Rhinolophus ferrumequinum: one gene and its partners. The protein of the gene in region 1 purifies or fractionates together with the protein of each later gene. This does not show direct contact. Links are inferred from orthologs where the notes say so. Each region holds a gene or a part of one and is shown in the gene's direction. Other genes may lie near its edges.

Region 1 (7,028 bases):
ATACAAATACAGGCATACCTCATTTTATTGCACTACGCTTTACTGTGCTTCACAGATGTTTTTTAACAAATTGAAGGCAAAACCCTACAACCAGCAAAAAGATTACGACTCACTTTATTGCCATGATCTGGAACTGAACCTGCTATATCGCCAAGGTATGCCTGTACTTCTTATTACTACATAAGCCTGTTCATTGTGCATTTTAATTTATAATTATTCTTTTGTGGGCACACTCACTAACCTTTCTTTTTTTTTTCTACTACACTACTTAACCTGTTGTGTCCCACCCAGCTTTCCTACCTTTATCTTTCCCTAGTCCTTTGGTTTGTTACTGTGGCTCAGAATCACTTATCTCTGCAAGGGAAATCTAATAAGCCCTGGAGGAAACCAAACTGTTATAAACCAAACTAGGGGATATGTTCACAACCAGGCACAAACAGTTCAAGACATAAGGCTTAGACTTTAAGATAAAGCAAGACATACCAGGAGAGGTGGGGACTGCTTGAGAGAGAGAAGTGTGTATTAGAACAGTGAATCTGAATCCTGGTTCTACTTTAGCTCTGTGGACCTAGCAAGTTAGTAAACCTTCCTGGCCCTCAGTTTCTTCATCTGAAAAGCAGAGGTGATAACACTACTTACGTCATAAGATTATTATAAATTTGAGATAGTATGTGTGAAGCACTTAAGACCAGTGTCTGGCATATTGTAAACACTCAGCAAATATTACCTATTAAAATTATTACAAACTAGTAAGTGGTTAACAGCAGGTTGGAAGGTAAAGTGTTTGAAAATTCAGAGAAACAAACACTGAATGTTAATTTCATCAGTTCTGTATTTTCTCATAAACTTCTTCAAGTCCTAATTCTGGATTGAAACACTTTTTTTCCTATAAAAATTCCCCATGACTTGGTCAAATTTATTTTTTTTAAACAGCATCAGTTCAAACTATTTGAAGGCACCAACAATAATCAGTCTTAGACTATTTTTGTACTTTATTATATACAAAAGAATAGCCATGTTTCCAATTTGTATAACCTAAACATGTTATTCCCTTTCCCGCTGGTAGAATTGGGAGTATGGATGGGGAGTCCAGAGGGAGGCAGGACGTAAAGCGCCTCACAGCATTTTTAGGGACTAGTGACAAAGGTCATTCATTAACAATAGTTTGCATGTAGAGGCAACATTCATTGGCAAAGTTGCCATGCACTGAGTTTGCTTTTAACATTCTTTACTCTCCTCCATGACATCCAGAGATCTCATATTCTCACTTAATTGCAAAGAACAAGAGCCTCTACTGCTCTGGGGCTACAAAACCCATGCTCAGGTTTGAAATTACAAATTGATTGCATGTTGGCCACATTTACCCCAGGATGTTTAGTTTGGCCTTCAGGGTTTTGAAATACTGGTTGCTAACATTTAAAAATAGAGATATTTTACACAAATTAGGGTTTCTCTTGGGAGAGGGAAAAAAACACAGAATCTCTCAGAACACTGGACCTACATTCCTGAGGCCAACAATCTGCTAGATCTGAACAGCTGCTCCCTTCAGTTACAGCATGGACACTCCAGTTTGCCACATTCCTTATCATTCCTCATTGTCTTCCACCAGGCCAGTCTTACTCATATGCTTTACTTTTCTGACCCCTGTAGACCTGTCTGCAAACCCTACCTAGACCTTTTTTGCCTACCATCAAAGCTTAGTTTGTTTTGCCCTAAGTCCCTCATCAGTATGTCAAAGCAATAGCTACATAATTTGATTAGCCATAGGTATTTTTACATGTGCTTTCTGGAGATAGTATTTTAACAGAAAGAGATGACTCTTCAGGTGGAAATTACAATCAGGATAGCAACTGTCCATTCTACTTTTTCTGCTATCCTGACGTAGTCATACCTCACTGTCCTCAAGCAAACCAAAGGAAGTGGTTTTCTGCAGAACAACACCCGGCTCTATGTGAAACCTACTTAAATAATACTTTCATAGATCACCCTAGTTCCAAAGGACCAAAAGCTACTAAGGGCTATTCTGACTCCCCATTTCCTCGGAGGCTTCAGGATATCCGGCCTGATGGCATTTCCCTTCACCTGATTTTTGGGCCCGTTTTGCGCTGGGCAGTCGCGCCCAAGGAGCGCGCGCGCATCCAGCATGAGCTCATTTCTCAGGGGGCGTTTCCAGAAGGCCGGCCTGGCCGCGCGCACCAGGCACAGTCTCCCTCTTTCTAATCAATGGCCCCCACGGCTGGGCGTGGCGCTGCCTCTCTGAAAGCTTTGTTCCCACTCTAGCGTCTGTGAGCTCGCACCCCGCCGGGGAGGCGCCTGGATCCATCTGGCCCTTGCGGGGAAGACGCTGGTACTCGGGACGCGCTAGCCTGGGCAGAAGGGAGTCTCGGAGGCGCAGAATTAGCCGCGCCCCGCCTAGAGCCTGTAGTCGGTGGGGAGAGCCCCTAAGCCCTCTGCTCGCCTGAGCGCTCCGAGCTCAGCCCAGCCGACCGCAGCAGTTTCGGACCCGCTGTGTAGAGGGCCCGCGCTCCCTATTTGCGGTTTCCACATGGTCTGAGAGCCGCCGCCACGACCCCAGTCGAGCTTCTTCTGGCTCCTGGGACCGCCGCCGGAGGTCGGAGGCCAATCACATTGCAGCTAGGTCTTGCGATTGGAAGGCAGTGAGTGCCGATTGGCTATCGCTAGGGTTTCGGCCTCCCTCCTTTTCCCTTTTGCCCCAACTCTAGCTCCAAAGCTTCAGGCCAATGAGAAGGCGCTTTATAGACGCCCTCCCTTTGCTTTCTTCTCCCCTCCTTGGCGAGGGAGGAGACGTTGTGACTGGCCAGACTGTCCTCGGAAGCCCCCTTCCTTTCACCAATCACCAAGGGAGGTGCACTCCCAGCGGAGTTTTTGGCCAATTACAAAGCAGCCACGGAGCCCAGCCGTGCTGTTTCACCCGCGACTCGGAGTTTCACTGCCCTTAACTCTTCAGGCGGTTTCGTGAGGGCCGGCGACTCTGATTGGCCACTATTGCCACTGTCGAATTTCTCTAGCCAGCCACAAAACAAGACGAACCCACCTTTTTCTGGTTCGGGTATCTTCGGCATTTTTCGGACTTTGGGCGTGGATTTCCAGCGGCACATTCTAATTGGGTCCTTAGGTCCATCGGCTTTTTCCGGGAGGAGCCGCAAACATACGACGTCTGTGATTGGCTACGCTCAGGCTTCGGTCCTTTAGCAGAAGCGGCGGGCGCAGGGCTCGTCCGGCGATTCCCAGACTCCTGTTACGCGGGCGGCGGGGCGCTGGGTGGTGTAAGGCTGGGTGGGGGAGGAAGGAGGCGGAGGACGAGTAGGAGGGGGGAGAGGGAGTGGGGAAGAGCTAGGCGGCTGCGCAGACGGTTCTCCTCACACAGAGCAGCCCCTGACCCGGGCGAATGCGGGTTTGTGCTGCCGTCGCCGCCGCCGCCGCCGTCGTCCGGCCCCAGTGACAAAGGAAGGAAGGAAGGAAGCAAGGAGGAGTCGGCCCCACAGCCGCTGACAGGGCTCCGGGCTGGGGGCAAAGCGCGGACACTTCTTGAGTAGGCACCGAGCAGAGGCGAGGGGCGGGAGGGCGACCGCGCTGGTGCCGTGGACGGGGGAGGGGGCCCCGAGGGACGGAAGCAGTTGCTGGGTTCCCATGTCCCCGGCGTATGGGGAGCAGTCAAGGAGCCGCTGCTTGGGGTCTGAAGGGAGCTGCCTCTGCCACCGCCGCCGCCATGGCCGCTGGATCCAGCCGCCGCCTGCAGCTGCTCCTGGCGCAATGAGGAGAGGAGCCGCCGCCACCGCCCGCCTCTGACTGACTCGCGACTCCGCCGCCCTCCAGTTTGCCGAGCCCCCGCCGTCAGCCCGCCGGATCCCGCCGCTGCCGGAGCCGCAGCGTTTTCCGTCGCATCTCCGAGCCACCCCCTCCCTCTCCCTCCCTCCTTCCCATCCCCCTTCTTTTCAAGCGTGAGACTCGTGATCCTTCCGCCGCTTCCCTTCTTCATTGACTCGGAAAAAAAATCCCCGAGGAAAATACAATATTCAAAGTACTTATTTTCAATCAAGTATTTACCCCTGTTTCGCGTGATATATATATATTTTTAGGATTTCTCCCCTCCTCTCTCCTCCCCTCCAAGGAAAGGGAGGAGAAAGAATTGTATTTTTTTCCCAGCCCCAAATCATCTATATGTTAAATATCCAGACTGATCTGTCTTGAAGGAGAAATACATCGCTCGTTGTTTTATAGCTATACAAAAGGAGTGAAAAGCCAAGAGGACAAAGTCTTTTTCTTTTTCTTGTGGGAGAACTTAATGCTGCATTTATCATTAACCTAACACCCCAACATAAAACAAAAGGAAGAAAACGAGGAAGGAGGGAAAAGAAGGTAATTCGGAAGGAAAAGGTGATTCAGAAAGAGAGCAATCATGTCAGGCCGGCCGAGAACCACCTCCTTTGCGGAGAGCTGCAAGCCAGTGCAGCAGCCTTCAGCTTTTGGCAGCATGAAAGTTAGCAGTGAGTATTGATTTTATTTTACACCCCTTCGCCACCTCACCCTTAGAATAACACACCTTGAAATACCAGGATCTTCAAATCTTAGACCTCCTGATACAGCAATCAGGGGGAATGGAAAAAGGCAAAAACCTGTCTTCAGTCAAGGATGAGGCAGCTCCCTCTTTTCTCCTCCCATACTCCCTCCCCCGGTCTCATTAACCTTGAATTGAGAGAATATGCTTTTTATTTGGATGATTTGGTTTGCGCCTAATTTTTTATACTTTCCTTGCTGTTGATAGTCAGCTTCATCCAGTGCTTAAGTATTTCCACGTTAAAATAGTGATGGAAGTGTTTACTTGCTCATCCTTTTGGATAAAGAGAAGGGCAAGGCTTGATTCATAAACCATTATGTACGTTCGCTCAGTGTATGTCTTTTGGAATGAGGGATATTTTAGTTAGCTCAGGTCTCAGAGGTTGTCATAGTTTTGTATACTTAACAGAGAGACTGAGTGTCACAGTCTCCTAACATTTCTTTCTTGCTTAACGATACAAAGTATTTGTTCTTAATCCGGAAATCAACTTGCTCAGTAACCAGCATTAGCGTTGGGAGGCGAGCATTGATCGTTCCGTTTACAAGGGGCGGGTGGGAACTGATACACAGTAGCAGTAGTGTGTCTACATGCATTGTTTTAAATTGGATAAGTGGTTTAACGTGTTCTCTTAATCTTCCCGTTTTGACATTACCAATCTACCACTATGTAATTATGTTTAATCAAAAGATAACTTGGTCCAAGTTTTGATTGAGGTTTGTATTGTCACGTTGCCAAATATGAAGTTCAATGTTGATGTTAATTGTTATTGACTCCATCATTTAAGTTCAATTTTGGGGTGGCCTTTGCATTCAGTACTTGTTACATGAAGAGTTCAGGGGTCCCTTCTTAGGACTATTTAAAATACTCTTGCATTGGTTTCCTGTCACATTTAGATAAAACTGTGGATTTAGTTATAAGATGTAGATCTTTCCATCATAGGTTTTGCAGAAGGCTGTGATCCTGGATAAAATAGGGAAATTTGGGCTGTGTTCAGGGATGTTGCTAGACTGTATTCTTATCCCAGATTTATACTGAAAAGTCTGTGTTCTTGAGGTGTTAGTATACTAAGTGTCCAATGTTCCAATGTATCTCTATTTGTGGTTATGTTTATGTGCTATTTAATGACAGTTTATTTAAACATATGTGCAGAATTTAACAAAAATATAGCTTTATGTTCTTATTCCTGAGGAAAGGGGCATGATTAGGGTAACGAAAAACTAGTTTGTTGCCTAGAAGAAGGAGAGAATGAAGAACTGAGATTTTTTTTTTTTTAAAGTATATGCTGGTACGTGAAATTGATTATATCTTTAAGCAACATAAAATGATTTTAATTGAACTCAGGCTTTCAAGTCATGTTGGCCTTTGGAACTTGCCAGAAATAGGGTAGTCTAAGGTAATAGCTGAATGGAAGATTATTTTTGAAAGTTAATTTTTTTTTTTTTTTGGTGACTGGCTTGTACAGAATGCAGGGTATGTGAAGAGGGAAGCTGATGATGCATCTTTCAGGGAAGGATCAGGCTTTCTAAGCACTGGGGTCATTTGAAAGGAATATTTTAAAATTCTGGGGTAATTTTCAGCTATGATGAAGCAAATTTTGTAATAGCTACTTAAGAGCCTCTTGTGGTAGTGGAGTGTTTGCTTTTCATCTTGGTAATATAGTTTAAAAACCACTCAAAATCAATTTTCGGTAATTAATTTATTAAATCTGTTTTAGAGAGCCAAGTAGAATAGCTTACGATGTTAAATTTTTGGACTTTTCATTTTGTTTCCAGGATTTTGTTTGAACAAGACTCTTTAATTCTCGATAGTGTGGATGTTGGCTAATAGGGGAACCCCTTATAAAGTGTGTAGGTTAAAATGTTTAATTATCTGTTACCATATAGGTCAACTTAACATTAAAAAAGCTGGAGTTCAGTGCTAATTGTTTTTGACAACATTGACTTTAAGGACATTTTAGAAGGGAATTGCTGAACATTGGTTAGAGTGCTAGTGTTCTAAGGGACCCCTGTTCAGAAGAGATACATGAGAAATTGTAGTCCGTGGCCTCAATAGCTTATGATTTAGTTGTAGAGGCAGGTTATAAAGACAAAAGATGAAAACAATATGGTGATGACTGTAAGTGTATAAATACAAATATAATGCTTTTTTCAGAGGGACAAACAATAAATGGGGTGAGGCAGATGGGTTGGAGAGGGAAGACTTCCTGCAGAGGTGTGTTTTAAGACAGGTGTTAAAGGAGGCGGTAACTTCAATTGACAGAGAAGTATAAAGGATTCTAGATGGAAGGAATGGACAGAGATACAGAAAATGGTGATTTTTGTATGACATGTAAATGATTTTTGTACTTACTAAGCAAGTAGGTAAATTTGAATTAAAGGGTCCTAAATTGGAAAATAAGAAGTGATGGAATTTGAGAAATGTGTTCATATTAGCTGGTGGGGGTAGAAGG
Region 2 (7,213 bases), on another chromosome or scaffold:
TCTCGCCCTGCCATCTCCCATCTTATCCTTCCGCAATCCTGAGCTATTCTCTAAAAATCCATGCTCTTTCCTACCCATCAGTTTCCTGTGCAGGAAAGACCAGTCAGGACTCACTGGGTTCCACTGTGTCCGAGCACCTCCTTTGGGGGGCCATCTCTGGTCTCCTCAGTCGGAGTTAGGTGTCCTGTCAGTGTTCCTCAACCCCTCACCTTCATAGTTTGGCCTTTATAGGGAAAGCACCATGTTCTTGCCGGTCCATTAAGACCGTGAGCTTTTCAGGGTGGGGCCTTGGCTCTTTGTCTCTGCAACCCTGGCACCCAGTGTCTGCTGTATAGATGCTCAGGAAATGTTTTTAAAGGCTTCTGAACCTGGTGATCACGTGTGGATGGGCTTCAGAATCTGTGAGCACACCCAAATAGCATGATAAATGTCATATGTATGTTTGTGCATATTTTCTGGGTAGAAAGCTCATGGTTTTTATGAGCTTCTCAAAGGGGCCCATAACATACATACACATACATGTATTTCCTGGAAGAGGTATAGCTAGCTACATGGTCAGTAAAATGCTAACAGGCATACATTAATAAGATTTGTTGACTTTGTCAGTTTGACAGAATCAAAGAAGATTCCTGAGCCTAGTCAACACACCTGAAAGGTCTGTGTGGGTGACAGACCCATCACTATTTTTTAAAGCCTCAAATCCATGCCCTACTGATAAAGGATTAGTATTAGTTAGAAGTAGTACAGGCATAGGAAATCGATCCAGAGGAAGAATATTTAGAAGAGATTCATACAAATATCTGGGCTTGATTTGATTCATGATCATAATGAATAATTTTATGTGTCAACTTGGCTAGGCCATGGTAGCCAGTTTTTGGTCAAACACTACTCTCGATGTTATTGATAAGGCATTTTTTAGATGTGACTCACCTTTAATCGCTAGACTTCGAGTAAACCAGATTACCTGCCATAATGTGGGTGGGCCTCACCCAATCAGCTGAAGGTCTTAAGATAAAAGATTGAGGATCCCCGAGGAAGGTGTTCTGCCTCCAAACTGCGTTCAGACTCAAGGTGGCAACATGCACTCTCCCCTGGGATTCTAGTCTACATGCATGCCCTGCGGATTTCAGCCTTGCCAGCATCCCAATTGCATAAACCAATTCCTTAAAATCTTGCTCTCCCTCTCTCCACATTCTATTGGTTATGTGTCCCTGGAGAACCTGACTAATTAATAGTACTCTGTCTCTCTTGTTGAACATTGTGGATTTAAATATGCGATATTGGATGAAGACATGTTTTGAAGATATTTTAACTTGCAATTCTCTTTAGTATTAGACCCAAGTTTGCCACTCTTCTGGTTTCGTGGTTGATAATTTCAATTAATGCTCAAGATAAACACCACTTCTCAGTTTAGATAAGCATTTGCCTGTGAAAAAAGTAGGAAGACATCTGGCATTTGAATACTCGCTGGAATTGGGTTAAGTTTGAGTTTGAAACCACAACTTGAGTTCCACAGGAAGCAAAAATGCTCAGCTCCACTGCACACCACCAATTGGTGGTGGGAGTCTGAAAAGTTCTCCTTGGAAATCTGAAATATGTGGCTCCATCCTTAGCCAACGGAAGCTTTGAGTACAGGAAACACTAAGCAATGGGCCACCAAAGTATTCCTTCCTTTTATGTTTTGGTTCTTAGTTCTACTTCTGCTTACTAAATGCACTGCTGATACTTATTTTGTTTTTAAAGTTGCTTGCTATTGTTTCACAAACATTGTAATGGCAATTAGGAATTCTGTTATAAAGAGAAAATTTTACAGCCCCACTACTCTTAGAAACTTACTTTGTTGAATTTTCCAATGACATGGGCCAAAGGAAAGGCCCACAGCCCTTCAAATCAAGGGTAGAAGGCCTCTGGAGAAGAGGAAACCATGGAAACTAGTGGAACCATTGTCATTTCTGAAATGTAATTTACAAGGTGTTATTCTTGCAATGGCACAGGGGCACTGAAAGAGCATTCACACCATTTGGAAACCACTGGGACTGTTTTTCAAAACAGCTGTCCAGGCTGTGAACTCTCCCCAGGCTCAACTATCTACTGCCCAATTCCCTTTTTGTCTTTTAAAGCCCCAGCATATGAGGGTTTGGCAGCTAGAACAAGCTTGAGCACAACTGACACAGGAAATGGCCCCTTGCTGGACTGGCGCCTGAATGCTACTGAATGGGGGTGGGGGAGGGAACACATACACCCAGGCCTTAGCTAGGAAACAGCTGTCACTCAAAGCACTCAGTTCAATGTCAGCAGCTTGCTTGTTTTCATATTCTAAGTGTCTTAGAAAGGTAACACTAATGGTGGGACCCAGTACAACTCATTTTTAACCTTGTAGTTTGGGTAGTTCTTTAGAAAGGGGGAGGAGAAGTGGGAGGCAAACTAACATTTACTGCATCCCACACTGTGCTCGGCATTGTATTTACATACATACTGCAAAGGAGAGCAATTAAGACCACTGCCTTTGTGGCCTTGGGCATGTCACTGAACTGCTCCATGCCTCATTTCTCTTCTGTAACAATAACAGTGATAATAATTCCTATGCCACAGAGTTATTATGAGGATTAAATTAAGTATTGTGTAAAGCACTTAGAACAGTGCCAGGCATAGTAAGTGCTATGTACGTGTTTGCTGTTGTTATATTTACTGGTTAATTTTAACACAGCCCTGCTCATTCTTTTATGATTGAGGAAACTGAGGCTCACGGAGATTAAGTCAATTACCGGAGATGGCAGAGCCTGACACCAAACTCAGATTTATTTGACTGCACTGTTTTCTTCTCAGTACAGGACCGGGCCTGCTCAATGCTATCGAATTCCCTCTCCTGCTTGCCAGCTTAGGGTTCAGTTTATTAGCTCTTCTTTGTACCGACGAGGGTGAAATCCTATATGACTGAGGCTCTGTCTTTAATCCCCCATTCCATCCATCCCTGGCAAAAGACCAATGGTCAACATATGGGGGTGAAGGGTCGTGAGAGGAGAAATTTCCCTCCTACACTTCCACCCACACCAGGCATAATGGTTTTTCTGACAGTTCCTACCCTTCCTCTATCAGAAAATGGGATAACCATAACTAAATAAAATGTTCTGATGAGCAGGACACTTATTATAGCCCGATGGATTTAGGGGAGCAGTTGGCCTCTTAGGGCAGTGCTATGCAACAGAAATATAACACCAGCCATATATATATAATTCAAATTTTTCTAATAGCTATTATATATTTAAAAAAATTTTAAAGGTGAAATTAATCTTATCAATATTTAACCTAATATATCCAAAATATTACCATTTCAACATGGAATCAATATAAAAATTATTAATGAGATATTTTAATATATTTTTTGCATTGTTTTAAATCTATTGTTTACACATACAACCCTGTTGTACCATGTGAGTACAACAGGTACCAGTCAGACACAACAAGACATGTCTTCCAAGGGCCTTCTGTATTCATTTAGCGACATATATGTCTAAAATTGTCCCCTGCTCCCCCTTTCTTCCTCCACAGGCAGATACTCTGATGGAAAAAAATGGCTGAAGGAGTCAAGTCGCTCCCTCACCAATCATCCTCGATTAGTGCAGTTTTTGCGGGCAGTTGGGATTTCGTGTATGGTCACGGTGTGTTTGTACCAATCTGCAAGGTTTATGCTTCTCATCGTGGGGGGTCAGGCGTGATGACGGGGGGCATTTCAGGTTCCAGAAGGGCTCAGGCCTCTTTTGGACCCTGACAAAGTCCTTTCCAGTGTCTTGTGCCCATGGGGACGGTGTGGCCTCCACGGACGGACGACAGCACCCCCGGAGAGGAGAGTAGCTCAAAGGCCAAGCAGACACTTGGCAGGGCTCAGATTTCCTGGACCGGATGGCGGGCCCTAGCCCGGAGGCCCGCGCAACTCTGGCGGGGCACAGGATGCGCGGTCCGGCGTGCGCATCCCGGGCATCCGCCCGCGCTCGGCCCCCGGGCATCCGCCCGCGCTCGGCCCCCAGCGCAGCTGCCGCAGATCCGCCCGGGCCGCCGCCTCCCGGGTGCCTGGAAACGGCAGGAATCCCGGTCCGGGCCTCAAGTCCTCCCCCTGCAGGGGCCACGGGGCGGAGTCGCCCACCTGTCATCCGAGACGCCCCACGTGGGCCAGCTGGAGTGGGGGGCGGGGGTTGAAGGGGAGAGAAAAGGCAGAGGCGGCGAGGGAGGCTGAGTGAGAGTGGGGAGGAGAGAAGAGGGGAGGAAAGGGGAGGAGGAAAGAAGGCAGCTTTCGAAAGCTGCGCACAGAGGGAGCGAAGAGTCGAAGGAAGAATAAAGTGGATCCAAGGCATCCAGAGAGGAACAGGTAAGAAGGGACAGGTAAACAGAAGGCAAGTGCTGAGCTAGAGAGAGCGAAGAACGGAGAAGAGGCAGGAGCGAGGAAGGGCCTGCGGATAAGGACGGAGGTAAGATGAAAGTAGAGCTGAAGGAGAAAGATTCGAGAGTGAGGGGGACTGGGGGGTCCTTCAAGGAGGGGCCAGGGAGAACCTGGGGCCGCTGCGCCTTTAAGGTTGCTTAGGCAACGGCTCTGGCCAGAGCGAGGCACATTGACGTCAGCAGCCGAGCGCTGATTGGCTGCGGCCGGGTTGTTTCCGGTGGAGCCGCCGCGGAGCCGCTATCGCAGAGTGGAGCAGGGCTGGGAGGGAAGTGCTGAGGGAGCTCAGCAAGCCGCAGACTCGCACTCGCAGTCCCGCGCCCTTCGCCGCCCGTCCCCAGGTAAGTGGGGTCGACGAGGGGCCCCGGCGCGGCGAGCTTCGCCGCCTCGCCGCCCGTTTGGGGGAGCTGGACCGATCCAAGATGGCGTCACGGGGAGCGACCTGCAGGGGGACGGCCGCACCCCCTACCCCTCCCCGGCCCCAGCAGGCCCCTCTCCGCAGGCCTCACGCCTGGGGCGGCGCCCCCGACCCCAATCCTGCACCTCCAAGGCCCCCAGGCCGCGGGAACGTCCGCGCCGGTGCGGGGTTCCCCGGCCGCCCCGCCCCCCACTCCCGCGCGCTCCCCCCCACTTCGCGTTGCTCAGGCCCCCGGCCCTCCGCGGCCTTCACCGGCCCTCCGCGGCCAACGCGCCCCCGCCGCCTCCGTCCCCGCGCGCCGCGGCCTTCTCGCTCGCTCTCGTTTTCTGAAGGACAGCAGCTCGATTTTACCGGAATCGGCCGTGGTTGCCGTCGGCGTTTGTGGCTGGTCTTGAGACCCAGCAGGTCTTGTTTTCTTCTCCGGTCTCCTCGCCATCTCCAGCAATCGCGTCTCCTCCTTCCCGGGGTTACCCCCACCCCCAAGGATTTTCGCCTTACTCTTGTATTTCCTTTTGTCCCTTTTCACCGCCCTGCCTTTCCCGAATTTTTTCCCCGAGGCCGCCTCGCCACCACTGTGGCCTTCGGACTTAGAGTGGGATGAGGGATCTGCCTCTCTTCTTCATTTTGTGGCCGTCACTCTGGCATAAGTGGAGGGCACTCTCCCGTCCTTCCTCTCGAAAATAGACGGTAACTATTAACCCCGCCGGCGCAGATTGCATGTGTGATGTCCAACGACTTAACTACCTGCGAGAGTCCCATAGGATCGGTCTTTTCAGAGGAAAGAAAGCTAACACTTCCTCCAGATGACCCCAAGGAGGTGTTCCTGGCTGGGCTTCCTGGGTGCAGTCTGAATCAGCAAGAGTTTCTCAGTGTTTTTAAATATTTCCTGGCATGTAAGCCATTTGAAACAATTTTATCACAACTGAATTTCCAAAAGAAAGAATCTGTGTGATTTCTTAAGAGTAGAGACAATTCTTTGAAATTTTTAAAGTATTAAATAATTTTGAGGAGGAGCAGCCAACTTGTTGGGCTCTTAAGACTTAAGTACAGAGTCAATCGAGGTGTATTCGATTGAAAATCTTAAGGCCGTGAAATCCGGATGTTCAGGGGTTCTGCATGGTGACTGCATTATCTTGGGGGCATCTACCAGTGTCATTTGTTTGGTCTTTTTTAATACATTACTTTGTTTCAAACAAAAAAAAACAGTTTCACATCTTAGACCCAATCCTCTCATTTCTACCAACCAGGGGCTGATCTTTGAATGATTTCTCTGGTCAGTTGAGTATATGTATTGATATTCCTGAAATATATCTGCGTGTTTTGAAGCATGCAAGATGCGATTTATCATTGTTCTTGGTAGTCTTCAGTATTATTTGAAATGTAGAAAGTTTTACTGAAGGAGATTCTTAGTTCTTACGATTGACATGGAAAAGTGGCTGGTATAAATCCATTCTCAAGTGAATGACTTTTTTTTTTAGTGTGTATTTCTGAAGTAGCAGCACGATTCTTTTTCTGTGTTCTCTAATGTATGTTGTCAGGTAGCTGCACACTTTCTCATGATCTGTTAATCCAGTCTTTATTGACCCTTATGAAAGTTGTCAAAACAACATGAGTAACAGTGTAGCACTGTAACTCTTTATTCTAGCCTTTCTTTTACATTTACAGTTTCATTTCAATGGTTTGTGTGCATTATATTTGGAAAAGTCTGATTAGTATTAATTTCAGTTGCAGAGTGGAGGAGACCTCGTTTTTTACTTTTAACTGTTTAGTAATTAGGAGTTAGAAGGAAAACAGTTTATGACTATTGTTAAATTACTAAGGTTTTATTCCAGTGTAAGGTTAGCTGCACATTGCTCTCTCTCTATTTTACTTCACATCGAGGTAGTTCGAACCCTTTAAATTTCATTAAATGTAATTTGTTATATTGAATCTTCATGTAAGCTTAAAACTTAACATATTTTAATACTTTCCTGTCCAGATGAAAAAAATGTTTTGACGTTTTCCTGTCCAAATCTTTTATAGTTTACTTGGTAAGCTTTTTTTCCTTCTATTAAGGATTTTCCCTCTTACCAATGAGTAAGTGTTATAATTAAGAGCTGGAATCTGCTAAAAGAGTCTGGAATAAAAGGTTGCTTTTAAGATTCATCTGAGGTTCCTTTTGTGCTTTAAAAATTTTTAATTACGCTAGTAGTTGGCTAATCAGATCCCTTGCTCCACTGGTTTGCTGGGTGACATTAGGGCATCCCCTGGGATAGGAGTTCGGTATAGGGAATGTCAGATGTTCTTCATTGTGCTTACTTGCTTCCACTTAGGGCCTGCTCATGTGCCCGTGTAATTCTCTGTCCTGTTTACCATTTACACAC
Region 3 (7,845 bases), on another chromosome or scaffold:
TTTTAAATAATTAACTCTATACCAACCATGTAAATTCAGGAGAGCGATGATATTTTAAAAGTGCTCTCTCATGAAGTAATTACATTTAGGCATGATTATCTGGTTTTGAATTTCAGACATTTATAGATTACATTTCCTTAAAAGACAGTATGTGTATATTTTGCATATTGGAAATTCAGTCAGTAGTTAATTATGATGATTTAAATCAGAAGAATCGCTACATTTGAGTACGATATATAATAGCACTCAAATGTATTTTGCTAATTCAAGAGGTCTTTAATTCAGAGTGGCACTTTTGGACTAAAATCTGTACTAATAATTACAGTTACGATTTTAGAAGTCATTGAGCATTTAATGAACACCTATATAAAGAAACATTACTAGGTATCATGTTACAAGAACAGTTAAGATGTGTTTCTGTCTTTCAAGAGACTCATTACAAAAGAGGTAAGTAAATAAGTTATAAGCTATATAACAGACAGTAGTGTAATATACATGCCTTTAAAATAAAGGCATGAATGAGATACTTCATCTTTTAAATTTAAAAAGCATTTTGCATGTTTAAATGGCTGATGAAATTATAATGTCCACATTTTTCCACTTTCAGAATATTTTCCATTGGTTTATTAAGTATTATTACAGTAAAAAATGCATGTAAACCAACCGCTGAGAAAGTAGTCAGCTCCATTATCTTTCTCTGCGTTTTCCAATGTTCTACACAATAAATGTATATTAAATCACTATCATAAAAAAAAAAAAAGAAATCTCCCAAACTGAGCAATGTGGAAAAGAAGGACTTCACATCTCTTTCACAAGTGAACTGCCAGCTGGGCCCATCACTCAGACAGGAAACAGGAATTCAGCAAGTGGGCCAAAGGGAGATGCGAGTTTTCAGACAGGAAGCGATCTGGAATCTGCTTCTGGCTGTCCGAGATTGCTAGTGTAAAGCTCCAAAGCTCCTGAGGAAAGATGATGCCTGCCTTTGTAGTCAGAAGGTCATTAGGAGGATTCAGCTGAGAGGCTAGCTTTGTGCAGTATGCTTAGTTCCACTGAAAGGTAGAACCAGACGGAACCAGCTAAGTTTAGTCTGAACTATGACATTTAGTGCCCCATGTGATCTAGACAAAGTCATTCAGCCTTGCTGGGTCATAATTCTTTCGTGGCATATAACCCAAATGCCTTGGCTCCATTAGACTACATAAACAAACGAACGTAAGATTTCCATTAAATAGCAAAATGACATTGGAGGAAACACCACCAACTTGGTTGATAGAAATTAGCTCACTAAAATGTTCCCTGGGGACATGTGAGCTTTCCTAGGCACGATCTTAGGTACACTCAGACTCAGCCTGTGTTATCCGACCTGTCACACTACTCACTTGGCCCCTGAGTACACCACTGGCCTTCCCTTATTCACACCCCCTCTCTGTAGGAAATATGGCAGGGGACACTTGTGTCCCCTGCTAGACCATTTCAACTTCCCCTTACCACAGCACATACTGGGCTTATAACATTGATGAAAATTTTGCTGAAGATTCCTAGTATTAAAAAATGATTAAAGAAAAACAATTTAGGGGATACAAATAAACACTTATTTAACACTTCACGAAGAGGACAGTCTCCATTCGGAGAACCACAAAATGGGAGGGAAGGCAGGAAGCTTTTAAAGGATAAAGAATAAAGAAAAAGGAAGAAAAAAATAGAAAATATCTGATTGGCTGGGGCTGCATCGTCTACCTTGTTTGGCATGAAAAGGAATAAGGAAATAAGTATAGAGCTCAGAGTTGGTTTTGTGTTTGGGGATTGGCTGAGTGGATATACTGAGTGTCTGGTCTAACGGAGCGTTTACAGGAACTCGAAAGTTATCTTTGTTTTGTTGATGTGTCACCCTGGGCAGGAGCAGCTCCATCTTGGGCCTAAAACTTTATTTCAACAAATCAAGGGACAGAAAAATAGAACACAGGATAAACTGTGAAGATCCCTTCCTTCCTTCCTTCCTTCCTTCCTTCCTTCCTTCCTTCCTTCCTTCCTTTCTTCCTTCTTCCCTTCCGCCCTCCCTTCCTTCTCGCAGTGGAGAGAGACAGACATTAAATAAGTAATCACTCAAATAAAAATCATTATTTTTATAAAAATCAAGTTGATAAATGCTTTGAAGAAAAAGTAGAGTCCTAGATAAGGAGGGGCTTACTTAGTTTAGGGAGTTCGGACAAGAGTTCTTGAGGAAATAGAGTAGAGCTGAATGGTGAGGGATCCATGTGCATTCAGAAGCTAAGGGGGATGACCAGACAAAGAACATTCAATACTGAAGGAACAGCTTGTGGGAAGGCTCTGAAGCAGGGAGGGTCTGGGCCTGTTTTGAGGAACTGAAAGGAGAACTGTCTGAGCGCAGGGGAGAAAGCTAGGTATATCATGGGTAGAACCACAAGAAGCCAATGAAGGGTATTTAGCCACGGAGTGACATGGTCAGATGTAAATTGCCTGAGTAGAAATGCCAACCCTCTGGGGATGTACCAAAAAACATGGAATTGTATACTTGAAATGGGTGAGTTGTATGGTATGTGATTGTATCTCAATGAGGCTGTTAACAAAGGAAAAGAAATGTTAAAAGAATCAAGAACTAGGCACATCTGTAGAAATGGATCTCAATCCTAAATTTCTTCTCACGTTGTATTTGTTGTACTCCGAAAAATTGGCCACAATGACTGTCTCGCTAGGGTGACTTGGGAGGATTTATGGCTCTATTAATACAAGTCAGAATGGTAGAGTCCAGCCCATTTTCATCTAAGTTAGCAGTACCAAGCAGCTGTTTCAGTTAATCATTATGACTGCAAAGGCTCTAAAAGAGGCCTCCGTTCTCTCAGTATTTTAAAGGAATGGTCTTAATTTGTTGAAATACTCTTTCTCTTTTTAGCATTTTTCCTTTTAAGAAGTAAGCCTATCGGGTTCCTTGAAACCTTATTTGCATTAAAATTAAGGTGTCAGCTTAACTTTAAGATATTGCCTCAGCTCTTTTAAACATTTATTTTCTGTTTTTTCAATCTTGATTAGGAACATATGAATCATTAGTTATTAAATACTACACAGGTTCAAAATAGCTACAGAGAAAGGGAGTATGAGGTTGAGCAGGTGGCAAAGCTTCCGTTTTCCCCCTCTGAGAAGGCCAAGATTTCTTAGGGAAGCATTCCTGGTATCTGTCTTAGTTGCGTAGTTCCTCAGCTGGTGTGTGTGTAAGTGTGTGTTTAATTTCATTTGGCTTGTGTTGTTGACTCTTAGGTTTTTATAAAACTTTATTTCATTTGCCTTTCCAGCTTCTCTCTTACTAGGGTATGCATGCATGCAGAAGTGTAATTCAGACTTAATGACTTTGGGTGGAGGCTGCTTAAATTGCCTTGTTTTATGTATGAGGAAGCTGAGACTCAAAGATAATAAGGTACCTTGATTTGGTTGCCTCACCAGTTACTGAGAGGTCTTCCAGAGGGAACTCTCACGTGTCCTGACTTCTGTTTCTTTTAGTGAAACACCTTCATTTTTCAGCCTTCAACCTCTACTTTTTTCAGATCTTATACTTAGGAATAACTATCTTCATTGAACATCATTTTATGTTGCTTTTTCTTAGAACTGACTTTAAGAATAGACAGAAGTGGTTTTCTGTGTGGTGTAAATGGAGGGGAAAAAAATGGAAGATGACTTTCCTTTTGGGCCATTCGTTTTCCCAAGTAACAACAACAACAAAATCTATTTCTTCTATTGTAATTAAATAGCAGTAACTGAAGATATGTCCAGATGTTTTTAACAAAAGGCAGCAAATAGCACCAGGGCTCGAATGGCTTTTTAGAAGAGGAATGTCAATTCAAGGTTATTGGAGGCCGAAGTCTTTCAGGACTGTCTCTCACATGGTACTGCAAGTCTCCTAATCTACTTGCTTCCTTTGTGGCCTCCACCAGATCCATTCTTTGCTGGGAAAATCTTTCTTTTTTTAAATAAACATTGGTGTCTCCCCCCTATTTAAAACTTTCCAATGTTTTCCACTGCACTTAGAATAAATTCCCTTTGATTCCTTTCTTGGCTTACAAAGCCTACAGGATCTGGCTCGTGTTTGTTTACTTCCTCGGACTTTTTCATATTTTCCTCCTCAAACCTAATTTTGGGGCTTTGAATTAGTAGTTTGCTTTGCCTGGGAATGCTCTGTCCTCTGATATTTGCATGCCCGTTATGCAAATCACTACTTAAGTGTCTCCTCCTCAAAAGGGCTGCCCTTCAAGTGGCCACCCAATCACAATCACCATCACAGCATTTCTGGTATTTTCTTCGTAGAGAGGTTAACACCAACACATATTTTTTTCTTTCTTCTCCCTCACCCAATAAGCTCCCTAGAACCGAGACTTATTTGTCTCCATCACTGCCTGGAGTAATGCCTAACATATGTAGGAGCTCGACAAATACTGGTTGAAGAAATGGACATACGAATGCACCCTTTCTTTCCTGCTCCTCTCTTCCAAACAGGGCAGAACCCTTAAAGAGGATACACTTAAAAATGCCTTTCATCTATCAGGTACTTCCACCCTTGAGGAATACACGTCCTTGAGGAGACTGAAACTTGACTGGACTAGCCCTTACGATTCTAAGAGGAAAGAATCACATATTAGCTTTTCATCTAGGGCTTGCTTTCTCCGTGACCAGTGCTTTTACTTCCCGATTGCGATTCCTCCTAAGATGTAAGGGTGAGCACTAGGGCCCGGAGATTCCTGGATGCTAATTGTTGAGGTTCGGATAGGGCCGTTGGCCTGGTGCGCTGTGAGTGGTCCTCCCTAGAGATGCTGGGGAGAAGGGGCGGAGCCACCCCAAAGGCTAAGCCTTACTTGGGCCGTCAGATCTGGTGGGGCTGCCGCTTTGGAAAGGGCCCCGAGAATCAGAAGAAAGCTCAGCCAGCGTGGGGCGAAGGAGTCCAGCTGACCCTAGGCGGTAAGACTAAGGGGTCGAAGGGATGGAAGCAGGGACTGAAACCAAACCTGCAGAGCGAGCCAAGGCTTGGGTATTTTGCCAGAGGAAAGGGTTAAACGGTTTCCATGGTAACGGGCCAGGAAGCGCGCAAGACGTTCGCCGCAGGTTCGTAGGTCAGCCTCGAGTTTAAAGCTCCCACGGCTGAGCGGATGCTGGCCAATGGGGAGGCCGCCTCCACGTCACGTGACGCGTGGGGCCGCTCCACCAGCTGCCAGGGAGCACGTGGGAAGGTTTTTCCTTTTCCTTCTTTCCTTTTTAAAAGCCCACCCACTTTTGCGCGGGCTTGGTCACGGAGTTCTTCTCGCGAGAGGCGTGTGACCCTCTCGCGAGAGTGAGTGGGAGGCGTGGGGACTAGGTGGTGTTGCGGACCGGAGCTGCGGCGGCGGAAGCCGGGGTGGGCAGGGCGGGGGCGGGGGCGGGCCGCGGGGAGGGGAGGGGGGCGGGCTGGGGGCCGGGGCGGGAGGCGGCGGCCGCTGGCTCGGCAGCTCGCGCGACCGGCCGTTGCGAGCCGGCGACATGACTGTGAGCTGCGCCAGGTGAGCCAAGTGCGGGTCCGCCGGCGGCGTGAGCTGCGGGCGGCGGCGTGCGGGGCCGCGATGGATGGAGCGGCCCTGCTTCGGCGTGCCAGCCCTCCGCCCGCCGGCAGTCCTTGCTCTGACTTCGGGGCTGCGCAGAGCTGCGCCTTCGCTCGGCGGTGGGAGGAGGGCGGGAGCAGCGGGGCGGAGGGAGGAAGCCCACGGCCCCGGGCCGGGGCGTGGGGGTGTCCTCGGGTTCCAGACGGGGCTTCCTGGGGTCCGGCGGAGCCCCTTTGAATGACAAGTTCAGTTTCCATCCCCAGGGTGGTCTTCAGAGCCGTGTTCCCTCGGTGCGTGGCGGTGCGTTCGCTTAGTGAGTATTCGTGCTGCGCGCACGGGAGCGTTTGCAGGAGGAGGAGGACGTTGCACTCTGTCTCCGAACAGCATCCTTCCACTGTCAGAACCCCTGAGCTCGAACGAGGCGCGACCCAAATCTTGTGATAAGAACGGAAGGCGTTTAGCAGCAGCTCCTCAGAGTGTTGATACTTACATTTGCTGTCAGTTTTTCTCTAAGGCTATCAGTGGCTTAAATGCTGGCCATATGTGTTCTGAGTGGATTGACTGTACGTCTGTTATTCCAGGCACCTTAGCTGCCTTATAATATATAACCAAAGTATAAAAAATGTTGGCAAAATGAGTATGGCAGTAGAATCTAAACCACCACCGGGGTATGACTTCCTAACAATTCTTTTCTGCTTACCATCTCCTCTAACGCTTGTTAAATTGGAGATGGTTTAGCTTAAGATGTTAAGGAAATAGCAGTATGAGAAATACTGCTGAGACATATCTGATGGCCTTAGTGCAAACCGGTGTTAAAAATTCCGGTTGTGTTTTCAGCTTTGTAATTATTCAGCCCCTTACAAAACGCGTAAAACACGTAAGCTGTCTTTAGCGGGTTCCCACCGTGTTGGGGATGTTTTATTGATGGATCCTGACTTTGATATAACTGGAACTACTCAAAACATGTAGAGTACTCAGCAAATAGAGGGTACTCCATAATGCATAGATGGTTTTTAATGTCTTACCATTTTAGAGTAAATGGCAGCACAGTTCCCAGCATGATTGGTGTCATTTAAAATAGTGCAATTTAATGAATATTTTTAAACACACAGTCACGTTTTTCAAGGAGTACTCTGGTTATTCATACTTTTTATGTTCCTTCTGGCAGCACTGACACAAGGGTTGTTGACAGTGAATTTTGCTGTTGTAGCTGTAACAGAATAGTTTATGAGAGATCAAAGAATGTAGGGCAATCGGAACAAATGGGTTCCCAGGCAGAACTGATAACTAGTGATTAGTGATGTACTTATAACCGCATTAATGATAAGGACCTAGCAGTATACTTGTAGGCCAGTGATACGTCCCAGTTGATGGGATATGGGACTAGCCACTGACCCTTAAACACAGGGAGAAATTCTCTGGCTTCTAAACTCTAGGGGTAAGTCTAGAAGCTGAAGAAATCTTCCTTTGCCTTTAGAGGCTGGAAGGACATACATATATATATATATATATATATATGAAGTATATACACATAATGTATATTATGCATATACATATATATACAAACATACATACATACATTATTTTTTTAATTCTAGGGACTTACTGTCTGGAAAAGGAAATCAAACCCCATCAGATGATACATTATAGCTCATTTTTAGGGAAATTTTCAGTTATAAATAAGCTGTGGCATTCTGTCTATACTTGCAGAAAATGTGAAAAACTTAGAAAATGTCTTTTTGAGAATGAGCAAAAGAAACTGATCTAGACTTAAAAAGTTCCCTCCGTTCCATCTTGGCAAACTGATCTTCGGGGATAGAAAAACTGATCTTTTTGCTGGTTTTGATGACCCTTTGGCAAAGGTTTCAAGCTTTTAGGATGTATTTTTTATTTTTCTAGCCTTTGAAAAGTAATTGAAGTCATTTTGGGTAGGACAATTGTTTAGGTAAGCTGCATTTGTTCTCTTTTTGTCAAGTGGCTTGCCTTTTAGTAATAAAATCAGCCACTTAGAGGGAACGAAGGGTGGGGACAAGTCAGGAAAAGATCTCAGCTTGGCTTGGGCTTGAGTTAAGGGTGTATAAACTGGTGAAGTGGGGAAAGGAAAGAAAAGTTCTTTATCAGATCCAAACAGATCTAAATGTGTTCCTCCTGCCACTCATCTTTATATATAAAAGTTCATTTTATTTTAAAATATCTGTTAGAAGTTAAGGCATTTGAGATACATTGAGACTGGGAAGGATGAAAGTTAACATTTTTGGATTAATCTGAG
Region 4 (8,006 bases), on another chromosome or scaffold:
CTCTTCACGGCCAATAAGCTGACAAATGCAATGAATTTCTCTTTTTAAAATTCTAACTTTCCTTAGCTTCCATAACCCTCTTCACACGCTCTTTGTTCCAACCCTTCACCATTTGAAATGCGGGTGTTCATCTAAGTTTCACCTTCAACCTTTTCTGAGTCTCAACCTAATCTACAACCGCCCGTGCACGTTGTGCCATTCCAGTGTTTCAGTCACGACTGATGCTCTGATAACTCCCAAATCTTTATCTCCAACTCTTAACCCCAATACTGGATACTATTTTCAATGGGAAAAGAACGCAGGAACTTCTAAGACAGCTCATTCCAACTGTGGAATAGTCCCAAATGCCTTGTCCCTATCACTCCCTCCCATTACGAGAGCTTTTAAGTCACTGGTCTCCAAAGTGCACAAGGTGTGATCAAACAATACGGTGAATGTTTAAATAAAAAAATTACAGTAAAAGACACATTGCCATTAATCCCCCTCAAAATACTCCCCCTCGCTTAGAAAACACTTATCCCATCCTTCTTGCCACTTTCTGAAGTGCTTCTGGAAGTCCTCTTTCGTGAGTGTCTTCAGTTGTGCTGTCGTGGCTGCCCCCATGTCCTGAGTCCATTCAAAACATATACTTTCATGGTCATTTTGACTTTGTCACATGGTGCCATATCTGGTAAATAAGGTGGATGAGGACACACTGTAATGTTTTCATTTGACAGAAATTGCCGTACCAGAAGCGATGTGTGACATGGAGTGTTGTCATGATGGAGGATGAAGTAAAGACACGAAAGAGGACTTCCAGAACTGCTTCAGAAAGTGGCAGGTATGATGGGATAACTGTGTTTGAAGAGAGGGGGAGTATTTTGAGGGGGATTAATGGCAATGGATGCTTTACGGTAATAAATTTTGTCATTTAGACATTCACCGCATTTTGTGATCACACCTCGTATATCCCAGAGAGTATAACCGATAATCCACAGGGATGTGAGTAGAAAATTAGACATTCTGTATTAAAATTTTCATTTTTCGATTTAAAAGTTGTACTAATATTTAATTTACAAATGGGCACTGACGCCTTCACTCAGACCATACATCAGACCCGTACAAAGAGAAGATGAGTAGTTCCACACTGGGAAGAGTTAAGAGTGGTGTCCTCAGCTGGATTTTCCTTTTCAGCACACTGAAACTTACTTCTGCATAATAAAAACAGACCTTAAAGCAGTTGAGTCTTTGCAAAGAGACAGAAAGTAACAGTAACTTTCTGATTTCCTGGGTTTTCTTATGGCCAAATATTTAAGAGTTGAATTTAAATATGAAAAGCAATTTTCTTCCACACCAAGATTAGAGTGCTAAATATGCCGACCATTCATGTGATGACAGATGGATATTGGTAGTACATGCTACCAACCAGATGTATTCCAAAAAGCTAAACATACTTTATCTTTTCAAAGTAAAGATGTCACTTTAATAATGAGTGAGAAAGTAACTAACTGCTTTTCAAAGGATACTTGTACTATGGGGGGAACAGTTGTGAAAAATTGTATTTGGAAATGTTTCCATTGTTACATGATTCTGTTGCTGAAATAATGTCTATTAAAAACACTGTCTCTTTTTTTAAGTCATTATCTACACAGTTATAAAAGATTCGAAAACATGGAAAATTATCCCAATGAATCTAAGTCTGCTGAACAGTTTTTAAAAATGGATTTTAAAGTTAATTTTTTATATATAAAAAATGCAACACCTTCCAATTAATTAATTAGCAAGCACAACTGATTAAGATCAAGGAAGACGGCAATGTCACAGCCAATTTCAACATAATCCCGTGCATAATTGATGGCTGAGAACTGAAACATTAGTGATGTTGCCAATGATGTAATTCTTCCACTTGGATCCAAGAATCTGTGAGGTATCTTTGTTTCAGGAATGAAAGTCATTAAAATCAAGTGTCAAAAGTAACTGAATTTGAACCAGAAGTTTGAATAGCTAAGTGTCACATCAAGATTTATCTTAGTCGCCAACACAGCACACTATAGTCAATAAATAAATAAACAGCAACAGCAAATATTTACTGGATGCTTTATTTGACATTATCATTTTGGCTGGGAATAGCCCCGGCCTTCAAGGAGCAGAACAAAACAATCTTCAGATTAAATCGAGCCCTAAATTATTCTGCCATCAATCCTGGTCAAACTGTAAAATTCGAATATTACCAACTGATTTCCATGAGGATTAAGCAAAACCACACAAATGAGAGTGCCTAGCACAGTGCCTTAAATAAATAGATGCTCAGTAAGCATCCACGGTCCTTTCCTTGAAGACACGATTAATTAAAAAATAATAATAATAGTCGGCTTAGTAATTAGACAGGTTTGAATTGTCACTGTACTGTTTGCTGGCCATGTCGCTTTGGAGAAATTATTTAACTCCCTCTGTAAAATGGAAATCATATCACCCACCTCATAGAGTTAATATGAAAAGTCATAAAGGATAATCTGTACAAAGTCAATCGACCCACAAAAGGCAGTTAATACACGGCCCAATCCTCCTCCTTCAAGATAGTCTATTCAAAACTGTACCACAAGGGGCCAGCCCATCTGGCTCAGGTGGTTAGAGTACAAGCTCTTAACAACAAGGTTGCAGGTTCAATTCCCCCATGGGATGGTGGGCTGCGCCCCCTGCAACTAAGACTGAAAACAGGGACTGGACTTGGAGCTGAGCTGCGCCCTCCACAACCAGATTGAAGGACAACGACTTGGACCTGATGGGCCCTGGAAAAACACACTGTTCGCCAATATTCCCCAAGTGAAAAAAAAAAGCTGTACCAAAAGTATAGACTCATGGGTCAATGAATTTAAAAATATCTATCACAAACCCTATCTTCTGGCAAGAGTTACAGCAATACAGGACCCTGACACACTGCCTGGCATGGAGTGGACACTCCATTAATGTTTACTGAGCTTAGATGTGTTACTATATCCAATATCAATTGGCTAACTGTGGTAGCCTGGGTTAGCCAGGTGTGGCATTGGGTCTTTCTGCTACTCAGACCAGGGCTCTTTCTACTTTACTATGTGCTCTCCCCAGCGTAAATCATCGATTTACTGATAAAATTGTATGTTTATTCATGCTAGAGCCAATTAATTTAAGGGTCATAATAAGGTGTTACCATAACCTGAGCATTTCAAGGTTCTATGACTCAGGAAGTCATTACTCTGTTAAAATACTTTTACATAAAAGGTAAAAAACACACACTTTTTACAAAGCTTAAATGAGGAGGAAAACAAGTTTCCCTTTGTTTACACAACTCTCCTAAGAAACTTACCTATATCTATGATTTCCTAAGTGGAAAGTGTGTTGGAGTGTTTTTAGAATAGTAAAACTCCAGAATGGGACAACATATTCAAACTGTAAACAGCAAACTCGAGTGCAATAAACGAAGGGTTGGGGGAGGAGAAAAGCCACTCCATTCTTGTCAAACTCAAGGCTTAACACACTTTCAGTAAAATACTGTATGCACTGAACACACAAATGCCGGTACAACTGTATGTGGTGCATTGAAATATACACGAAGCACCTGTAAGACACGATGAGTCAACCCACAGCCCCTGGATGACAAGTGGAAAACAGGAGTTTAAATGTCTGCCAATTGCAGCTTCGGTGCTTTTACAACACCTGCGTTTACGATCCGTCACGTGAAACACACAGCGTAACTAAACAGCACGGCCAGGGCCACGCAACCATTCACAGGCTGGCCTTGTCACACCGCGAGGGGCCAAAGAAGGCACATGGGCAGAGGCGGCCTTCACCTGTTTCTTCCAGATGGCGAATGCGGGAGGCAGACCGCGGTGCGCAAGCAGCCAACCCAAAACACACCCAGGAACCAGCAGGCGTTCCGACACTGCCAGGGGTCCGCCTCATCCTTCACCTCGCGGAGTGTCCTCCCACGAAACCGGGTGTTGGCCACGGAGCCCCGCGACCCCTCCTACCCGAGGGGGCAGCCCTTGGTCCCCGCGCTCCACAGGCCCCCTCACCGACCCCAGGCGCTGCCTCCGTGCACTGATTGCCAGCGTAGACTCCACTACCTCTGCTAAGTTTCTGGAACACGTGATTTGGGGGCGCAAACTTGCTAGGAACAGATTAAACAAGACTGGAACACACTTCTCTGAGCCCTGCCACTCCCAGAGAGGGGCTGAACGTCACACATTTGGGGTGACACTCGTTCAAATCGCCCTAAGGAGGGCAGCGAGTCCCGCCCGGGGGGCCGCCGGCAGCTCTTACCCATTTGTCCAAGGGGACCTGGGCGAGGGACCCGGTGCCCTGATACAGGTCCAGGCTGAGCTGCTCCAGGCTCAGCTTCTCCTGCAGGAAATGGCCCAGGTACCTCTGCAGGAGGTACCGACAGGCCCTCTTCTTGATGGACTCTGAAAACGGCCAAGGCATGTTGAGGGCCGGCGAGGGCTGCGGGCGGCGGCGGCTCCGGCCTCCCGGCCCAGGCCCCGGTTCCAGGCCGCTGCGGCGGCGGCAAGGGCACTGGCCGGCGTCCCCAGGCCGCGGAGGGGCCTAAGCCCGGGGTGGCCCCTCCATCCCTTCCCGGCACCAGGCGTCCCTCAGGACGACCCCATCTCCTGCGCCGCGCCGCTCGCTCTAGGCCTGGCGGGGACACGGGGCGGAGGAGTCGCGGGCGCCCCAGGCCCGGGGTCTTCCGGAGGGGTCCTCGTCCGCACGGAGAGAGGGTGCAGGAGAGCGCGCGGCGAGGCGACCGGGCCTGAGGCAGGGGCTGAGGCAGACACCTCCACCGCCGCCGCGAGACGAATTTGTTGTCATCCGCAGGCGCGCTCCCGACTCTGGGGACGCTCCGGCGCGTTCGCGAGCCCCGGACTCCCCGCGCGCGGCCTGCGCTGGCGGAAGTGACGCCACACTGGGGCTGCAGGAGGCGGGAGAAGGGCCCGGAAGCGAGCGGTTCCGGCTCCGAGGGGGCGGGGCGAGGGCGGGGAAGAGAGGAGGCGGCGCCGCAGGTCGGTTTGCGACGCCCTGGGAGGGAAGAGCAGGAGGAAGCCGGGAGCGCGCAGGTGAGCGTCCGCGGGGCCGGCTGTGGGCGGGCGAGCGGGAGGGCTGGCGGCGGCCGGAGGGCGTCAGGGAGGGCGGGCGAGGGGTCCTCCGGGCGGGACCCGGCGCAGCGGGCCGGGCCAGGAGGAGCGGCAGCAGAAGGGGCCCGGTGTGGGGCTGAGTTGGGTGCAGGGGCGGGTCCGGCCTGGGCCGCCCCGGTCACCCCAGACCCAGACCCCGGAACCCGGCGCTGGGAGCGCCGCCGGCTCCACGGGGAGGGCTGCGGCCGCTCTCTCGCCTCCCGCCGCCCCCGAGTGTTGACCGGTGCCTATTGTCAGCAAGTTGTTCGTCACCCGCCTCATTCAGGTATTGTTTCCAAAGCTTCATCTTCGTTACTGTTGGGCGGCTGGCTGCTTCCCGAGCGCTTTCTTCCTCCTGCTGTGCTGCGCCGGCGACCAGGAAACTTGAGTTTTCGAGGCATTTGTGGGCAGAACTGCCTCCTGTAATTAATGCTAACGCCTCCCGTCCCCTCAGAAACCTGGGCGAAGTGCTTGTGCTTTTCTGGGAATCTGCGCCATCGTATTTCTCTGCCTTTGGGGAGGCAACTCCTGCAGAGGCGAGGCTGGCTGGCTCTTAACTTAGTCAACCACGAAAGGTGTTTGCTGGCCTGGAAGCCAGATGTCCTGGGTTACAGTCCTGATACGGCCACTTATTAGCCCAGCCACCTTGATCCGGCCACTGCTCTCTCTAAACCTTTGCCAAGTGTGAGCGTATTAATAGCTAACCTCCCGGGCTTGTTATGAAAATTAAACGGTATGAGTGGGGAAGGAACCTAAGCAGAGTCTTGATTCATATAGTTCAATTAAGGATAGTAAAGTAAGACGGCCTGTTTAAGGAGATTTTGTGTATATGTTGATAACTCGTGAATGCCTTAGAAACACTAACACAGCCCCAAACTACTGTCAGGTGGAGAAAGGTTTGGTTCCCCTTTCCACACCACCTTTTCATGTTGGAACCAGTGTGCTCGCCAGTGTACATATGTAGGTGCTTGGATTGTTGGTACCCCTCATTTGTAGCCCTGTCCCAAGCATTCTCAGTTACTTCAATTTCCTTGCTCTTCATTCAGCAATATTTGTTAAGGGTCCATTAAACGAAAGTCTCTGCAACTGGTAAGGTTTACGTAACAGGTAAAGAAGAATCAGGCAAAACCTTCAAGGAGCTTATGTTCTCGAGTGAAAGGTCTGTTCCTTTAATCAGTAAATATTTATTGATTGCCTGCCTGAGCCAGGGACTATTCTAAGTGCTGGGGATATAGCAGTGAACTAATTAAGGCCCTGCCCTCCCGAAGTTTACATTTTGTTGAAGGCAAGGGAAACTAACAGTAATCGCATAAATCATATGCCATCTGGTGATATGGGCCGTAGGAAAAAAAAATGAAGCACTGGAGAGGAAAGAGATTTGTCACTTTTATATAAAGGAGTAAGCGAAGGTCTCCCTTATTTAATAAGGTGACATTTTAGCAGAGACTTGGAGAAAGCTGGGGAGCAAGGCACGTGAATACGTGGAATAGTTGTTTTCCAAGCAGGAGGAACAGCAAGTGTGAGGCTCTATGGCAAAAGCATGCTTGGTGGGGTCAAGGACCATCAGAAAGGGGTGCAGGGAATAGTAGAGGGGTCAGGTCATAGAGGGCATTGTAGGCAATGATAACAACTTGGGCTTTTACTCTGGGTGAAGGAGTTTGAGGAGAGGTGACATAATCTGGCCTGTTTTAACAGGATCGTGCTAACCGCTGTGTTGAAATAGACTTGTGTGGGATGGGAGAACCAAAGGAGAAAAGAAAACCGGTTAGAAGGACATTGCAATAATCTAGACAAAAGATGACAGTGGCTTGAGTTAGAGTGGTAGCAGTGATGATGGTAAGAAGCAGTTGGATTCTGGATATAGAGGGTGCCAAAAACATGTATACACGTTTTAAGAAAGGAAAAAGCTATTAAAATTGTGACAATATATACCGGTAACAAAAAATGAATACAAGTCCTATGTATACATGTTTTTGGCACCCCCACTATTTTGAAGATAGGAAGCCATGTCTGTGAATATAATGATAACACTTGCCATAGCGAGAATAGAAACAAAGATGGGATCTCATCTGGCAGAGAATTAGACTAGGTTTGGGAGGTTTGAACTGGACTTTTGAGGAATGGGTGCAACTGACTTCTTTCAGGTTTATATGTTTTGTTTTGGAATGTAAAATTACAAGTACATTCAGGCTGTTCATAGAATGCCTGAAATTTCAAATATAAGAAAAATATAAAAATTGGAAACTTTTATAACAGACGTACTCTCTTTAAAGTTAGGTGTGTTGCCTTGTACATTATGCTTTCTAGGAGAAACTCAGCATAAATGTTAAGGTGTAGGACCTGTTGTCATCATACCTTTCGCTCAAATAGGGTACAAACTCAGCCTAAATCACAATGCTATTTTTGTGTTTTATCAAAGTACTATCACAAAATGTTAACAACTAGCATTAATTGAGGAAGATGGAGATAATCCCTGACCATTGTCAACTTCTAATGAGTTCTATAAAAGGATACCGAATGGGTCATTCTTCAGAATAATCCATGTTAACATGTGAAATAGAAGAAAAGCCGATGGGACGTCATTGGCCTTTTTTAAAAACTTGCACCTGATGTAACAGGAACATGATGTTCGGGCTCCCACATCGCGTGGCTCTTGGAGTTATACAAGGCAGCAGCTACAGCCATCCTACATAATGTAAAGAATCAAACGGCTGGAGTTTCGAGGTCAGCTCTTTTTTCTTTAAAGATATTTTTAAATATTTTTAGTGTATAATAATTGACGGATAATATTTCTTGAGCTTACCATGTGCCCAGCGCCACACGAAGCCCTTCCTAGATGTTCACTCGTTTAGTTCTCTCAGTATCCGTTTAAGGTAGATG

Evidence for each region.
Region 2: the proteins of GSK3B (region 1) and PRKAR1A purify together in Homo sapiens (affinity purification with mass spectrometry; 3 studies listed by BioGRID and IntAct, with this or other methods). This does not show direct contact. The link is inferred for Rhinolophus ferrumequinum from reciprocal best matches to the Homo sapiens genes GSK3B and PRKAR1A.
Region 3: the proteins of GSK3B (region 1) and AKAP11 purify together in Homo sapiens (affinity purification with mass spectrometry; 4 studies listed by BioGRID and IntAct, with this or other methods). This does not show direct contact. The link is inferred for Rhinolophus ferrumequinum from reciprocal best matches to the Homo sapiens genes GSK3B and AKAP11.
Region 4: the proteins of GSK3B (region 1) and GSKIP purify together in Homo sapiens (affinity purification with mass spectrometry; 10 studies listed by BioGRID and IntAct, with this or other methods). This does not show direct contact. The link is inferred for Rhinolophus ferrumequinum from reciprocal best matches to the Homo sapiens genes GSK3B and GSKIP.

What each region holds. Positions count from the first base shown.
Region 1 is NC_046285.1:45,648,309-45,655,336, reverse strand, and holds the start of GSK3B (glycogen synthase kinase-3 beta), read left to right. Parts: upstream 1-4,022; 5' UTR 4,023-4,420; coding exon 4,421-4,508; intron 4,509-7,028. UniProt on the Homo sapiens protein: Constitutively active protein kinase that acts as a negative regulator in the hormonal control of glucose homeostasis, Wnt signaling and regulation of transcription factors and microtubules, by phosphorylating and inactivating glycogen synthase (GYS1 or GYS2), EIF2B, CTNNB1/beta-catenin, APC, AXIN1, DPYSL2/CRMP2, JUN, NFATC1/NFATC, MAPT/TAU and MACF1.
Region 2 is NC_046304.1:45,323,220-45,330,432, forward strand, and holds the start of PRKAR1A (cAMP-dependent protein kinase type I-alpha regulatory subunit), read left to right. Parts: upstream 1-4,210; 5' UTR 4,211-4,363; exon of another isoform or gene 4,364-4,463; intron 4,464-4,615; exon of another isoform or gene 4,616-4,773; intron 4,774-7,127; exon of another isoform or gene 7,128-7,213. UniProt on the Homo sapiens protein: Regulatory subunit of the cAMP-dependent protein kinases involved in cAMP signaling in cells.
Region 3 is NC_046287.1:8,104,268-8,112,112, reverse strand, and holds the start of AKAP11 (A-kinase anchor protein 11), read left to right. Parts: upstream 1-4,840; 5' UTR 4,841-4,962; intron 4,963-5,421; exon of another isoform or gene 5,422-5,537; intron 5,538-5,870; exon of another isoform or gene 5,871-5,889; intron 5,890-7,845. UniProt on the Homo sapiens protein: Binds to type II regulatory subunits of protein kinase A and anchors/targets them.
Region 4 is NC_046289.1:7,262,109-7,270,114, reverse strand, and holds the start of GSKIP (GSK3B-interacting protein), read left to right. Parts: upstream 1-4,998; 5' UTR 4,999-5,069; intron 5,070-5,112; exon of another isoform or gene 5,113-5,412; intron 5,413-8,006. Other genes in the region: ATG2B (autophagy-related protein 2 homolog B), read right to left, coding at 4,279-4,440. UniProt on the Homo sapiens protein: A-kinase anchoring protein for GSK3B and PKA that regulates or facilitates their kinase activity towards their targets.